2 linked regions of the Stegostoma tigrinum genome follow. The protein of the gene in region 1 purifies or fractionates together with the protein of each later gene. This does not show direct contact. Links are inferred from orthologs where the notes say so. Each region holds a gene or a part of one and is shown in the gene's direction. Other genes may lie near its edges.

The links.
Region 2: the proteins of sigmar1 (region 1) and E3 ubiquitin-protein ligase RNF185 purify together in Homo sapiens (affinity purification with mass spectrometry; 3 studies listed by BioGRID and IntAct, with this or other methods). This does not show direct contact. The link is inferred for Stegostoma tigrinum from reciprocal best matches to the Homo sapiens genes SIGMAR1 and RNF185.

Annotation. Positions count from the first base shown.
Region 1 is NC_081354.1:147,742,249-147,750,070, reverse strand, and holds the start of sigmar1 (sigma non-opioid intracellular receptor 1), read left to right. Parts: upstream 1-4,784; 5' UTR 4,785-4,964; coding exon 4,965-5,103; intron 5,104-5,555; exon of another isoform or gene 5,556-5,669; intron 5,670-7,822. UniProt on the Homo sapiens protein: Functions in lipid transport from the endoplasmic reticulum and is involved in a wide array of cellular functions probably through regulation of the biogenesis of lipid microdomains at the plasma membrane.
Region 2 is NC_081379.1:51,227,345-51,234,807, reverse strand, and holds the start of E3 ubiquitin-protein ligase RNF185, read left to right. Parts: upstream 1-4,449; 5' UTR 4,450-7,463. Other genes in the region: c-Myc-binding protein, read left to right, coding at 2,195-2,239. UniProt on the Homo sapiens protein: E3 ubiquitin-protein ligase that regulates selective mitochondrial autophagy by mediating 'Lys-63'-linked polyubiquitination of BNIP1.

The DNA of each region.
Region 1 (7,822 bases):
TTTAAAGTCCCCCTCCCATTCCTCAGACGACATGTCCATCATGGGCCTCCTGCAGTGCCACAATGATGCCACCCGAAGGTTGCAGGAACAGCAACTCATATTCTGCTTGGGAACCCTGCAGCCCAATGGTATCAATGTGGACTTCACCAGCTTCAAAATCTCCCCTTCCCCCAACACATCCAAAAACCAGCCCAGTTCGTCCCCTCCCCCCACTGCACCACACAACCAGCCCAGCTCTTCCCCTCCCCCAACTGCATCCCAAAACCAGTCCAGCCTGTCTCTGCCTCCCTAACCCATCCACTCCACTCACCCATCACTTCCTCCCACCCCAAGCCACACCTCCATTTCCTATCTACTAACCTCATCCTACCCCCTTGACCTGTCCGTCCTCCTCAGACTGGACTGTCCCCTCCCTACCTCCCCAACCACACTCCCCTCTCCACCTATCTTCTCCTCTATCCATCTTCAGTCCGCCTCCCCCTCTCTCCATATTTATTTCAGAATCGTCTCCCTATCCCCCTTTTCTGATGAAGGGTCGAGGCTCGAAACGTCAGCTTTTGTGCTCCTAAGATGCTGCTTGGCCTGCTGTGTTCATCCAGCTTCACACTTTGTTATCTCGGATCCTCCAGCATCTGCAGTTCCCGTTATCTCCTATGAAATACAGAGATAGTCTGAACTGCCGATACCAGAGAATCTGAGATAACAAAGTGTAGAGCTGGATGAACACAGCAGGCCAGGCAGCACTAGAGGAGCAGGAAGGCTGACGTTTCGGGTCTGGACCCTTCTTCAGAAGTTTCTATACATGTCCTTCAACACAACACTCAAATGCCCATTAGAGTCATAGTCACAGAGCTTGAATGCCTATTATTCACATGTAAATCCTGTTGCTTAGTACTGGTAGATTATTCTACATGAAAACTTCACTTCTAAACCTGAGCTTAACGGTGACACAGGGTTTGCACTGGCCAGGTGGGCAAAAGCACAAAATGGCTGCAATGAAGTTGATATTGTTTGCCTCCCTATAGTAGGAGGAAACAAATTGTAGCACTTTCACATGCTGAAAGAAGTTATAAAGAAAAAATGCATTTCATTTATTCTCTGAAGCCACGAGGTCCCCCAAAGTATTTTAGTCAATTAAACGTTTTTTAAATGTTGTTACTGTTGCAATGTGAGGAACGTTGTAATATGTAGCCAAACATGCCTTTGAGTGGCCTTGATCTGTGATTAATAAATGTTACAGAATCAGGGACATTATTAGGAACATTGAGTTTACTTTATCCTCTCGAAGTTTTATATATATCTAGCAGAATATGTATATGGAGAAATTAATTGTTAAAATAGTTTGCATATTAATTGGTTATATCCAGTCGTGTATGGCAGTGGACAATTAAACAACACAGGAGGAGGGCAGCACAGTAGCCGAGTGGTTAGCGCTGATACCTCACAGCGCCAGGAATCCATGTTTGATTCTACTCTTGGGCAACTGTCTTCTTGGAATTTTCACATTCTCCCCTTGTCTGAGTGGACTTCCTCAAGGTACTCTGGTTTCCCCACACAGTCCAATGACACACAGGTTGGGTGGTTTAACTGTGCCAAATTGCCAATAACATCCAGGGATGTATCGGATAGATGGCTATGCAGGGTTACATGGATAGGGTAGGAGACTGGGGCTGGGTAGGTCTTTGGAGAGTTAGTGTAGACTCGAAGGGATTCTGTGCTTCTCCACAAGTATCTCCATCCTCAATGATGGAAGAGCCCAGCACGTCAGTACAATAGGTAAGGCTGAAGCATTCATAACAATCTTCAGTCAGAAGTCCTAAGTGGATATTAATCTCAGCCTCCTCAGTCGTCCCCAGCGTTACAGATACCAGACTTGAACCAATTTTATTCACTCTATGTCATCTCAAGAAATGATTCGAGACACTGGATACTGCAAAGGCTATGGGCCTTGACAACATTCAGCCAATAGGACTGAAGACTTGTGCTCCAGAACTTGCCGCTCCCTCAGCCAAGCTGTTCCAGTACAGCTACAACACAACAAAAATGTGGAAAATTGCCCAGGAATGTCAGAGACAAAACAAGCAGGGCAAATTCAACCCTGCCAATTGCCATCCCACCATCTACTCTCCATCAACAGTGCTATTAAGCAGTATCTGCTCAGTGATGCTCAGTTTGCGTTCTGCCAGGGCCACTCAGCTCCTGATCTCATTATAACCTTGGTTCAAACATGGACAAAAGAACTTAATTCCAAAGGTGAGGTGAGAGTAACAGCCCTTGACATCAAGACTGTACTTGACTAAGTGTGGCATCAAGGAGCCTGAGCAAAACTGGAATCAGTGGGTACCAGATGCAAACTTTCCAGTGGTTGGAGCCATGCCTGACACATAAGATGATGGTTGTGGTTGTTGGAGGTCAGTCATTTCAGCTCCAGGACATCTCTGCAGGAGTTCCTCAGGGTAGTGTCCGAGCCCCAACCATCTTCAGCTGCTTCATCAATGACCTTCCTTCCATCATAAGGTCAGAAGTGGGCATGTTCACTGATGATGGCACAATGTTCAGCACCATTCTCAGATACTGAAGCAGTCTGTGCTCAAATGCAACAAGATCTGGACAACATCTAGGCTTGGGCTGCCAAGTGGTAAGTGACATTAGTGCTACACAAATACAAGGCTGTGACCATCAGCAACAAGAGACAATCTAACCACTGTCCCCTAATACTCAATCACTACTGAATCCCCTGCTATCAACATCCTGAAGATTATGATTGACAAGAAACTCAATTGAATTCACCACGTAAACACAACAGCTACTGGAATGGGTCAGAGACTAGGAATGCTGTGTAACTCACCTCCTGACTCCTCAAACCCTGTCCATCATCTATAAAGCACAAGTCAGGAATTTGATGGAATACCCCCCAGCTGCCTGGATGGGTGCAGCTCCAAAATACTCGAGAAGCGTGACATTATTCTGGATAAAGCAGCCCGCTTGAATGGCACCACATCCACAAACATCCACTTCACCACTGACGCTCAGTAGCAGCGGTGTGTACTATCTACACTATTCTACACTGTAGAAGTTCACCAAAGATTCTCAGACAGCACCTTCCAAACCCACAACCGCTTCCATCTAGAAGGACGATGGCAGCAGAGACATGGGAACACCACCACCTTCAAATTCCTCTCCAAGCCACTCACCATTCTGACTTGGAAATGTATCGCCCTTCCTTCAGCGTCGCCGGGTCAAAATCCTGGAATTCCCTCCCTAATGGCGGACTGTAGCGGTTCAAGGAAGCAGCTCATCATCACTTTCTCAAGGGTAACTCGGAAATGGCAAGAAATGCTGGCCAGCCAGCGATGCCCAAATCCCACAAAACGAATTTAGGTTCAGTTCACTCCAATTTTTCTTTATAGCTCTACGTATTTTGCATTCTCTTGAACGCTAATAACGTAGTGTGGGTCCCAAACAAATTCTTACAGATTCTTGCACATCAGACCACATTGCTGAATTAATGTGGAATGTTGTGTGTTTGTATGTGTGTATGTGTTATTTCTTTTATAAATTTGTTGATAATTGTTAATTACAACTAGCCATAAATAAAAATCAAGATACTAGATATGATTAAGTTCTGACATTTACTCAACTTTTGATTTGATTTATCTCTGTCATGTGTACCCAGACACAGTGAAAAATGTTGTCTTATGTGCTTTACAGGCAGATTGTACTATATAAGTGCATCAGGATAACAGAACAGAGTGCAGGATACAATGTTACAGCTGCAAAGACGGTACGGAGAGGGATCAATATTATCATTAAACAAGACTTTCTCAAAGTTTGATAACGGGGGAAGAAGCTGTTCTTGAATCTGTTTGTGCAGATTCTATTCAAACCTTTATGACTTATGATGAATATTTGACCTCACAAACTTTACCTTCTGTGATCAATGATGTGGGGTGGAGGAAAACAAAGCTTTTAACAGGCTTTTGGAGAAAGTTGATGAATTTGCAACGATCATTCTAACACCATGGTTACTTACCAACAGACTATAATAAACAATATACAGTCAGCAGAAGTAGTGTATTCTTTAGGTATTTTACATTCACTTGAAAGGTTTTGGCCTTAGACGTTAGTAATCAACTTGTTTGTTTATACTATGATACACTTCCTGACAGGTGGGACCTAAACTTGGTCCTTCTGCCTCAGAAGACAGGATACGACCAGCACCACAACAGTCTTAATCAATAGTTTAATCAATAGAGTGTATGCTTGCAAAGGAATAAATGACTTTTAAACAAGGTTTGGATTTTGGAAGAAAGACAAAAGTGCAATACTCAGCAGCGTCTATGGAGAGAGAGGGGGAGAGAGAGGAGAGACAGAGAGATAACTCCTCGGGTCCGTGACCCTTCATCACAACCGTGTTAACTTCGTTTCTCTCTCCCACAGATACTGCCTTGCGTGTACCCAGTGTCTGTTGCCATTTCAGATTTTCAGCGTCTGCCGTTCCGGTTCAGTTTGGTGGGCTCGTGAGGCAGGATGCACACAGCCGAGCCGATAGATTAAAGTTTAGCAATTCACTTAGCAGTTGGTGCAAATCGATGCTCGCGATAAAGTGGATGAGCAACAGCCCGCCGAGAACCTCGGAGCACACTTCAGTCGGCCTTTCCACCCCGCCTCCTGTGACAATACACCACGCTCATTGTCAAGGGGACACGGGAACCGTGGGAACTCCCGGCCTCCGATAGGCAAGATCGCGCTGTCAGTCATGAAGTGGGGCGGGGCGGGGGTGAGTGACGGCGCCGTGGGAAAACCGGCGTTTCTGTTCGAGCCAGGAGGAGACGTGGTGGGTGCAGGAAGCTGGTGGTCAGCGGCGCAGAGTTTGGACGAATTGCTGTGTGTCCTCCTCCCCCCTTACCCCGGGACGGTTTGTCGCGCTCCTTTCCCCCACCCCGGGGCTCGAGCCGCTTAACATGAAGCTGACGCTGGGCCGTGCCGTTGTCCTGGTGACTGTGGCCGGGCTCAGCATCTGGATGTTCCGCGCGTGGCTAAGCAGCAAAGAGCACGTGTTCAACAAGGAAGACCTGAGCAGGCTGGCTCGGCAGTACTCGGGTATGTTCTCACAGAGCACTGCCTGTCTCTGTAGATGCAGATGCATGCGAGCAGATCCTTCTGTCTAACTCGTCCATACCGATCAAGTTCCCCAAGCTAAATTACTCCTATTTGGCCCACATTCCCCCAAAACCCTTCCTGTTCACGCCCCTCCCCGAATTTCTTTTGAATGTTGTCACTGGACCTGCATCTGCCATTTCCTCTGGCTCTTCATCCACGACTTGCCACTGCACCGAATCCCACTTCCCATAGTTTGCATTTACTCTTTAAGGCTATCCCCAAGGTCCGCCCCATCAGTCAGATTTTCCATGTTAACAAAGCAGGGGAAGAGGTATTGTTGACAGTGCTGCCATTAGAACATGAGAAGATACTGCAGCAGCAGGCCATGCAGCCGTCAAGCCTGCACACTCTTTTTGTAAGATCAGTGCTGATGTACCCCAGGCCTCACTCACCTTTCGTGCCAGGTTCAACTCTGATCGTTGAAGTCTACCTCCCTACTTTAAATAGTTGTGATCTAGCCTCCACAACTCCCTGGTGTAGTGAATTCCTGTCAGCCAGCAATAAACTGCTGAGTTTGCGTTCTACACAGAACCACTGGACTTTGGCCCTAGTTACCTTCATCTGCAATAAAAAAACACTCGTGTTATGCCATTATGTAACTCCAGACCTACAGCAAAATGGCTGACTCTTGACTGCCTTTGGACAGTTCAGAATAGACAATAATTGTGTGCCTAGCCAGCAATCCCCTCATTTCATGTACAAATAAAAGGCAAGTTTTGGTCAAAATGTGGACAGCAAAACTAAATTACAGAAGTAAGAGGAGCTGTCCTTGAGTATCTCTACTTCAGTTAGTGCACTGTTATCCCCTGAGGTGGTCTTTCTCCAGAGGGTTGAACACAAATCTGGGCTGATGCTGTATGGTGTTATATGGGAAATGCTGCTCCCTTGTCTTTGGGATAAGATGTTAATTGGAGACCCTGTCCATCCCTCAGTGACATTATTTAAAAACACATCAGGTTCCAGATGTACATTGACAATAATCTACCTCTCCATTACCAGTTTTAACTCTCATTTGTAACATTTCTTGTCAGAAATCAAGTCTTGGATGATCATTGTCTTTGGCCTCTACTACAAGCTCTGCTTTTGAGCACCAGAATCTCCCTGGTCTGTGTCTAAGGTCAAACTGGGCTATTTGACCTTGCGATGAGCTTCCAATACATACCTGTTCCATCACAAATACCCCATTCCCACTTTTTTTTTAAATCACTCTGCTGCGTTCCTGCTGCAGTGCATCTGCTCTTGGAACTTTGACGGATGCCTCTGGGGTTCAGCTTACACTCTAGAAACTCTTCCACTGTACTTTTGGCTGGCCTCACACCTGTCTGTCTATTGAGGTTATCCCTAAACTCAACTGCCTTGACCATGACACCCACCATATATCTTTTCAAACACCATCTATGTGCCCGCTATCCGATATTGTCTGCTGTCTTGATAGACTTCAACTTTAAGAGAAATCATTTTTGTTTTCAAATCCATCCATGATCTTCATCCCTTCCCTATCAGTACCATCAAAAAGAACTGTGACTTCCTCCAACCTTACAACCCTGAGGTTTTTACACACTTTCACCTCCTTCAATCGTACTTGATTTTAATTGTTCCACAGCTCATAATTGTGCCTTCAACTATCTGGGACCTAAGCTTTAGAGTTCCTTAGCCAATCTTGCTGGTCCTTTTTCCTTTTTAAGATACTCCTTCAAAACTGTTGACGGATATTTTGATCACTTGACTTGATGTTAAAAATTTGCTAATGCCCCTCTGAACTTCCTTCATGATTTAGCAAGTAAAGATGATTCATAAATGTAAGTTATTTTTGGTGTTAAATGTGTTTGGCTTGATGCTGGCTAATCTGCTTTAAAGTATTTGGCACTTGTCCTGTGTACCTAGCAAGGTCATTTTAAGAAGATTGATAATTCACTAAAACACCAGCATTCCAATATTCTTAAAACAGCACTTGATGCTGTGCTGTCATGTCTAACCTCTATTAACCTTGCAATTTTTATTTTTCTAATTTGTTTATATTCCATGCATTTTCCAAAAGTGCAAAGCAGACAGCAGTTCCAATTATGTTCTGGGATAGAGCCAGTATTACATCTATTTTATTTGTTGTGTCTTAGAGGTTTTATTTAGAGCTGGTGAAGTTTCTGTATTGGGAACAGTACCACGTTTTGAAAAACTGGAATCGTACTTGGAAATACAATAGACAATACTGCATTCAGCAAAGTACAAGTATTGTTGAAGATAGCATATTACTAAATATTTGAGCAGACTATCAAAACATACATTGATATCCAACTTTTTTCTACTTGCTGTTCATTCAGTCATCAGTGATTTGGAGATTTCATTGAGCTTGAAGTTTGAGTTTATACTGGAAATTTGATAGCAAAGAGAATGTAGTGTGCCTTTCGCTGTGTATCTCTGCAAGTCTTATTTTACTTGGTGCCATCTGGATTTGTAAAGGATCTGGGAGACCTGGGATTGCAGTAATAAACCAACTTATGCTGATTTAGCTGTGAACAAAGATATCCACATATAGATCCTTAGTAGTCCATGAATTCAATCTCTAAAGTGTGTAAAATTATTTTAAACCGTTAGTCTGCATTTAAATCGATTGACTAGTTCACATAGCTAGATGCTATGTTTAATGTTCTTTAAGTGCAAG
Region 2 (7,463 bases), on another chromosome or scaffold:
AGTGATCTGTGGACCTGCACACCCAGATCTCTCTGCATATCAATATTCCGAAAGGTTCTACCTTTCACTCTATAACTTCCACCTGTACGTGACCTTCCAAAATGCATCACCTCACATATTTGTCTGGCTTAAACTCCATCTGCTATTTTTCTGCCCATGTCTCCAACTGATTTGTATCATGTTATATCCTCTGACAATCCTCCTCGCTATCTGCAACTCCCCCAGTCTTTGTAACGTCCACAGACTTACTAATTAGACCAGCTACTTTTCTCTCCAAATCACTTATGTAGATCACAAACAGGTGAGATCCAGCACTGATCCCTGCGGAACACCGCTCATGACATTCCTCCATTCCAAAAACTATCCTTCCACCTCTACCCTCTGTCTCCTATGCCTAAGCCAGCTCGCACCTGACACCACGTGACTTCACCTTTTGTACTAGTCTGTCATGAGGGACGTGGACAATGGTTTTACTGGAGTCCATGTAGACAACATCAACTGCTTTTCCTTCATCAATCATCTTCATCACCCCCTTGAAAAATTTGATCAAGTCAGTGAGGCATGACCACCACACACTTAAACCATGTGTTAATTGCTAATCAGTTAATTTACTTCTAAATGTTTATAGATCTTGTTCCTAAGAATCTTTTCCAGTAACTTTCCTACCACTGACAAGAGGCTCACAGACCTGGAATTGCCCGGATTATCCCTGCCACCCTTTTTAAACAATAGGACTATGTTAGCTATTCTCCAGCCCTCTGGGACCTCAGGCGTGACCAAAGAGGACATAAAGAATAGATTCCCTGCAGTGTTTAAACAGGCCCTTCGGCCCAACAAGTCCACACTGCCCCTTGAGGCATCCCACCCAGACCCATCCCCCTATAACCCACACACCCCTGAACACTACGGGCAATTTAGCATAGCTGATTCACCTAGCCTGCACATCTTTGGACTGTGGGAGGAAACCCACGCAGACAAGGGGAGAATGTGCAAACTCCACACAGACAGTCGCCCGAGGTTGGAATCAAACCCGTGTCCCTGGTGCTGTGAGGCTGCACTGTTAACCACTGAGCCACCATGCCGTCCTGATGTCTGTCAATGCTCCAGCAATTTGTTCTCTTGTTTCCCCTCAATATTCTAGGATAAATCCCATCAAGACCCAGGGATTTATCTACCCTTAAGACTTTCTAAGACACACAACTCCTCTTCCTTTTTAACGTCAATTTCTAAACCAAGTTGCTTCTAGCCTGTGTCTCCAACGCCTAACCGAACAACCATGCACAAACTCACCTCTTGGGTTGTGACTGAGTTTGGAACTGATAAAAAGGTTATAAGGATAAAATGGAATAGTGGTATTAGTTTAGGGCTATTCCAGTAAGGAACTGCTGTAGGCACAACAGCTGAACAACCTGCTTTCTATTGAAGTCTGTCCATCTAATGTTCTTGCTCTGTCATGGTAATCTTATTAGGTTTATCACAAAGCTTAGCACTGTTAAAACTCTAGAAGTTATTTTCAAGTAACAAAAAGTTGGTGTGATTCTGTTGCTGTAATGGCAAAGCAATGGGAAGGTGACACACCTGCGTCTAAAATGTATTACTGATTTTTGGGAAGCCTGATTACCTGCATTTCTTCAATTCAAATTCATTGTAAGTTTCAGGAGGAGTTTTAATTTTTTGCCTAGTCTGGTGACTTCAGTTCCCTGTTCCATTTATCCCATTAAAAGGTTTTTTTTATAAACCATTGCTCCACAATATGGCTAGCTCCAGTGTCAACTGATTCCAGTCTAATTTCCTCTGCCAACCAGGCAAGTCAACTCGACAGTGTGAATTAAATTTTAAAGGGATGTTATTTCAGGGATCAAATTCTTGCGGGTATTTTTGTTTGCTTTTTAGGGGCTGTTAGTGTGCTTGAAACCATTAAGACCCTGTGATCACGGCAGAATGTTTGAAAAAATTCTGTTCACATTCTATACTGCAGATTCTATGTTGAACTCTTTATTTTTAAAATCATGTTCTGGTTTGTGCATTTTGTAGAACAACTTTATATTCTAAGTTTTCTTGAACCGCAAAATGATAACTGTTTCAATCAGAGCAATGCAGAATTTTCAGATATAGTTAGTGACACGTTTTTGATGTGGAAATCTCTGAAATTCATTTTAATGAGAGCTAAAGTATTTCAATCTGTTGTTCACAGCTTGCACAGTTCGAGCCCCCAAAAGAGGAAGGGCAACCTGAATAATAATTCAAGACTTCCCACGTTATCAGAAGAATGCATGAAAGGGATCTGATAAAATCATCTGGCAAATAGTATTAATTTTGGAGAATTGGCACCTATTCTGGAAGAAATGCAGCCAGTCATTTTAGGTTACACATGCCAAAACAAAAGTTACTTTAAGCTAAAAAAAATTATGCCATTGTTGTATACCTGTCTGCAATGCAGCATTTGGAAGTGGATATTCAACAGAATTTTTACTCAATGCATCTAAATTCTACACAAACATTTGATTCAGATATAGCCCTACAAACCAATGCAAGTTGCACATGTTTCATTGGATCCTAAATTTTGTTAATATTGGCATGATGTTACCAGATTTCTGAAACAAATTTCAGTAACTTTGTTTCACCAAACATGTTTGTTAAAGTCATTTTGCACTTTGTGGGGAACAGTACTGAGCACTCTTGTCTGGCATATCCTGTTAGTTTGGGGGACATGGGGACGGATAAGCTAGGGGTTAATAGCTTTAAGTCACATTAGGCCAATAGAATCTGTATATCAGTTCACAAGCCAAACTGAACAAGTGGAACTTGGCAGCAGTCAAGTATGAATGTTGACCATGTTGGATGGTTTGCTGTCATTGGGCCAGTATTTTGGACAAAATCTGGCAACCAGGCCGTGATCCACTAACGTGACTAGGCACTGGCATTTTTGGAGCAGGAGGAACATCTTATCAGCAAACTACACTAATGCTGAAACCAGGCCCATTTGGCTCAATTAATGTCCAAGTTTTATTGTTTTTTTAGTTGTACAGAAGTTCAATTTTTCCCTTTTTTGTATTCACTGAATAAATTTTCTTTGCACATCATTGGTATGTTTCTTGATGATAAAACACTAGATTAACCAGTATTAAAAGATTTTTGTTCTAGAGGCAAGCCCAGGATTTGCATTTGTAATGGAATGACACTGTCCCGCCCCTCCTTGTGTACTTGTCTCAGTCCTTCAGATGGAGCCGTGTCTAACTCTGTCACTTTCCTCTTTTATTTCTTTGCAGAATGAACTTAAGTAACTGCTCTCTTCCCTGGCCAATCATCCATTTTCTCTCAGCTTCTTATTATCCACTCCCTCACATGCTCATGTCCTTCCCCTTTCCCCACCCACCTACTCACTCCCCTTTCAGGTTCATGTTCTGTTCTCCCTTATCTTCATTTCTTTCTCTTTTCTCGATCTGGCTTCTACTCTTTTCTCTTCTCCCATCAGTATTCCTTCCAAGATAAAACAAACAGTCACCAGGATAAGTATGGATTAATATGTGAATGCCAAGTCACATTTGATTCACCTGATGGAAAACGGACTTTTGAAAGATATTGATAAAATTTGTTGCCCATAGGACAAAAGGGCCCACAGCACCTTTGAGACAAAATTACCTGAGTGACAGCGAACTACATTTTCAAACTGGAGAAAGATGTGTTGTAGGGTTATTAGGAACCCTTTTTTTTTGATATATGCTGAGCTGAGCACACATAAATTTACAGATGACAAAATCTGGAAATATAGTAAAATCTGAAGAAGATACTGCAAGATTTTAATAGGACACAAGTTGATGGAGGGGTTATGAAGAGAAGCATGGATAATTCATGCTTGAGAAATGGAGAAATGCAATATGTATTTGTAGAATTCTAGAGAGGTACAGGAACATGGGGCAAATTAAAAGCAACAAGGCACGTTAAGAAAGTATTGTAAAAGCAATCAGGATCGTAGGCTTCACAAATAGAAGTATCACGTACAGAAGCAAAACAAATATGAACTTTTGTAAAGTACTTGTCCATCACAATTCAAATATCTTGTCAAACTGCACTTGGGGAAGGATGATTAAAAACTTTGAGAAGATACAGCAATGATTAACTAAATATTAACACGCTTTGAAAATTTTCATTTGCAAAATTATCCTGATGCAGGCAAGGGAAGTGTTTACCGTGCAGAAAGATATGGAATTGGAGTAAATAAATAGTGATATCTTGAAGCATCTCTTACAATGGAGACAGTAAGAACTGCCAGTGCCGGGGTCAGAGATAACACAGGGTGGAGCTGGAGGAACACAGCAGGCCAGTTTTGGGTCAGGATTCTGAACAAAGGTCCTGACCCGAAACGTCAGCTTTCCTGGTCCTCAGATGCTGCCTGGCCTGCTGTGTTCCTCCAGCTCCACCCTGTGTTATCCGTATATTACAATGGCGGTGGTGCTGAAGTCTTAAAACACAAAAAGGTGGATAAATCCCTGGGAGCAGATCAAGTGTACCCTAGAACTTTGTGAGAAGCTAAGGAAGTGATTTCTGGACCCCTTGCCAAATATTTTGGCATCATCAATAGCCATGGGTGAGGTGCTGGAAGACTAGAGGTTGGTCAACGTGATGCTGTTATTTAAGAAATGTAGAAAGGTAAAGCCAAAAAACTTAGACTGGTGGGCAAGTTGTTGGAGGAGGGTCTGAGGGACAGGATTTATGTTTATTTGGAAATGCAAGTGCTGATCTAGGAATAGTCAACATGTCTTTGTGTATGGGAAATCATGTCCCACTAACTTGATTAAGTTGTTTGAAGACGTGATGAAGAGGATTGAAGGCACAGCAGTCAACGTCTGCATGCTCAGTAAGGCATTCAACAAGGTTCTGCATGAAAGACTGCCTAACAGGGTTAGTTCATACGGAATACAGGGAGAACCAGCCATTTGGATACAAAATTGGCTAGAAGGTAGGAACTAGGATGTTGTGGAGGGTTGCTTTTTGGATTGGAGGCCTGTGACCAGCAGTTTCCTGCAGGGATTGGTGCTGGGTCTGATTTTTTTTTTTGTTTTGTTATTTGTAGAAGCTATTTGGATATGAATATAGGAGGTATGGTTAATAACTTTGTAGATCACACTAAAATTGTTGCCAAGGATAGCAAATAAGGTTACCTTGGAGTCCAACAGGACCTTGGTCAGATGGTCTGAGGAGTGACAGATGGAGTTTATTAGATAAATGTGAGATGCTATACTTTGGTAAGGAAATCAGGCAAGAATAATACACTTAAAAGTAAGGTGTAGGGGAGTGTTGTCAAACAGACACCTTGATATGCAGGTTTGTAGTTCCTTGAAAGTCACTGGTAGACAGGTCAGTGAAGAAGACCTTTCGTATGCCTGTCTTTATTGGTCAGTGCATTGAGCAAAAGAGTTGGGAGGTCATGTTGTGGTGGTACAGGACATTGGTTAGGCTACTGTTGGAATGCTGTGTTTGATCCTGGTCTCTCTGATAAAGGAAAGATGTTGTGAAACTTGGGTTCAGAAAACATTTTTAAGGATGTTGCCACAGTTGGTAGGTTTGAGCTGGAGGAAAAGGCTGAGAGGTGACCTTATAGAGGTTTATAAAGATCATGAGGGGCATGGATAGGGTGAATAGTCAAGGCCTTTTCCCCAGCATAGTGGAGTCAAAAACTAGAAGGTATAGGTTTACGGTGAGAGGGGAAAGATTTAAAGGGAACCTAAGAGGCAACTTTTTTGCGCAGTGCATGTATGGAATCAGCTGCCAGAGGAAGTGTAGGAGGTTGCTACTGTTACAAAAATTAAAAGACATCTGGATGGGAACATGACTAGGAGGGGTTTAGAGGGATATGGGCCAAATGCTGGCAAATGGGACTAGATTAATTCAGCATATCTCGGCAGCATAGATGAATTGGACTGAAGGGTCTATTTCTGTGTTGTACATCTTTGACTCTGTAACCAGGGGAACATGACATTTCTCCTGTAAGAAGCAGTGTGTTGACTGGTAGAGATGTTACTATGAACAATACATCAGTCCTTACGTTTGTTCTTTGCAAACAATGTGGGCATTGCTGTCTCGAGTGTCCCTGATTGTCCTGTAGAAGGTGATGGTGAGCTGCTTTCTTGAACCATTGCATTGTGTTGTAGATACACCCACAGTGCTGTAAGGAAGACAATTCCAGGATTTTGTCCCAATAACAGCAAAGGATGATGAGTAAGTTCCAACTAAGGATACTGTGTGATTTGCAGCAGCGGTACTGTGTAGCATCTACAAGATGCACCTAGACAACTCATCCAGGCTTTTTAAACCTTACAAACCGATGGCAGCGACCACCAAGGAGGACAAGGCAAGAAAAGATCCCCTCTGAGTGACTCACCATCCTGACTTGGATGGTGGATTGGAAAGAAATCCCTATCCCTACGCTATTGCTGGGTCAAAATCCTGTAACCCTCCTCTCAAACAGGTCGTGTGTGCCCTGACAACACACAAACTGGAGCAGTCCAAGAATGCTGCTCACTATCACCCTATTACAGGCAACTTGTTGGGAGTTTTTTTACAGACCCCCTAATAGTTGCAGAGAAGTGGAGGAGCAGATTGGGAGGCAGATACTGAAAAGGTGCAGAACTCACAGGGTTGTAGTCTGGGTGACTTCAACTTTCCAAATATTGATTGGAAACAATCTAGTTGTAGTAGTTTAGATTTTGTCCAGTGCATTCAGAAAGGATTACTGACACAGTATGTAATAGACCAACATGAGGAAAGGTGATTTTCGATTTGGTGCTTGGCAATGAACCAGGCCAACTGTTAGACCTGTTGGTCGAAGAGCATTTTGGCGTTAGCAATCATCACTGTTACTTTTACAATAGTCACGGAAAAGGATAGGTATGTACAGCAGAGTAAGGTTTATAATTGGGGGAAGGGTAATTACAATTCTGTTAGGCGAGAACTGGGTAAAAAAAATGGGAACAGATGATGTCAGGGAAGAGCTCTCTGAAATGCGGAGATTGTTTAAGGAATGCATACTGCGTGTGCTCAATATGTTTGTCCCGAGCAGGCAAGGAAGATGCGGTTGAGTGAGGCAGCCTTGGTTCTTAAGAGAGGTTGAATGACTAGGATGCTTATATAAGGTTTAGGAAACAAGGCTTGGAAAAGACTCCAGAGGGATACAAGTTAGCCAGAAAGGATCTGAAGAAAGGGTGTAGGAGAGCAATAAGGGGGCATGAGAAAACCTTAACAGATAGGATCAAGGAAAACTCCAAGGCTTTTTACACATTAGTGAGGAATAAGAGAATGATCAGAGAAAGGGCAGGGCCAATCAAGGATTGTAAAGGGAATTTGTGCACGGAGCCTAAAGCGATACGAGAGGTCCTTAATTAATACTTTTCTTCAGGATTCATAACTGAGAGGGACCTAGTTGTAGAGGAGGCCAACGTGAAACAGGCTGGTAGGCTAGAGGA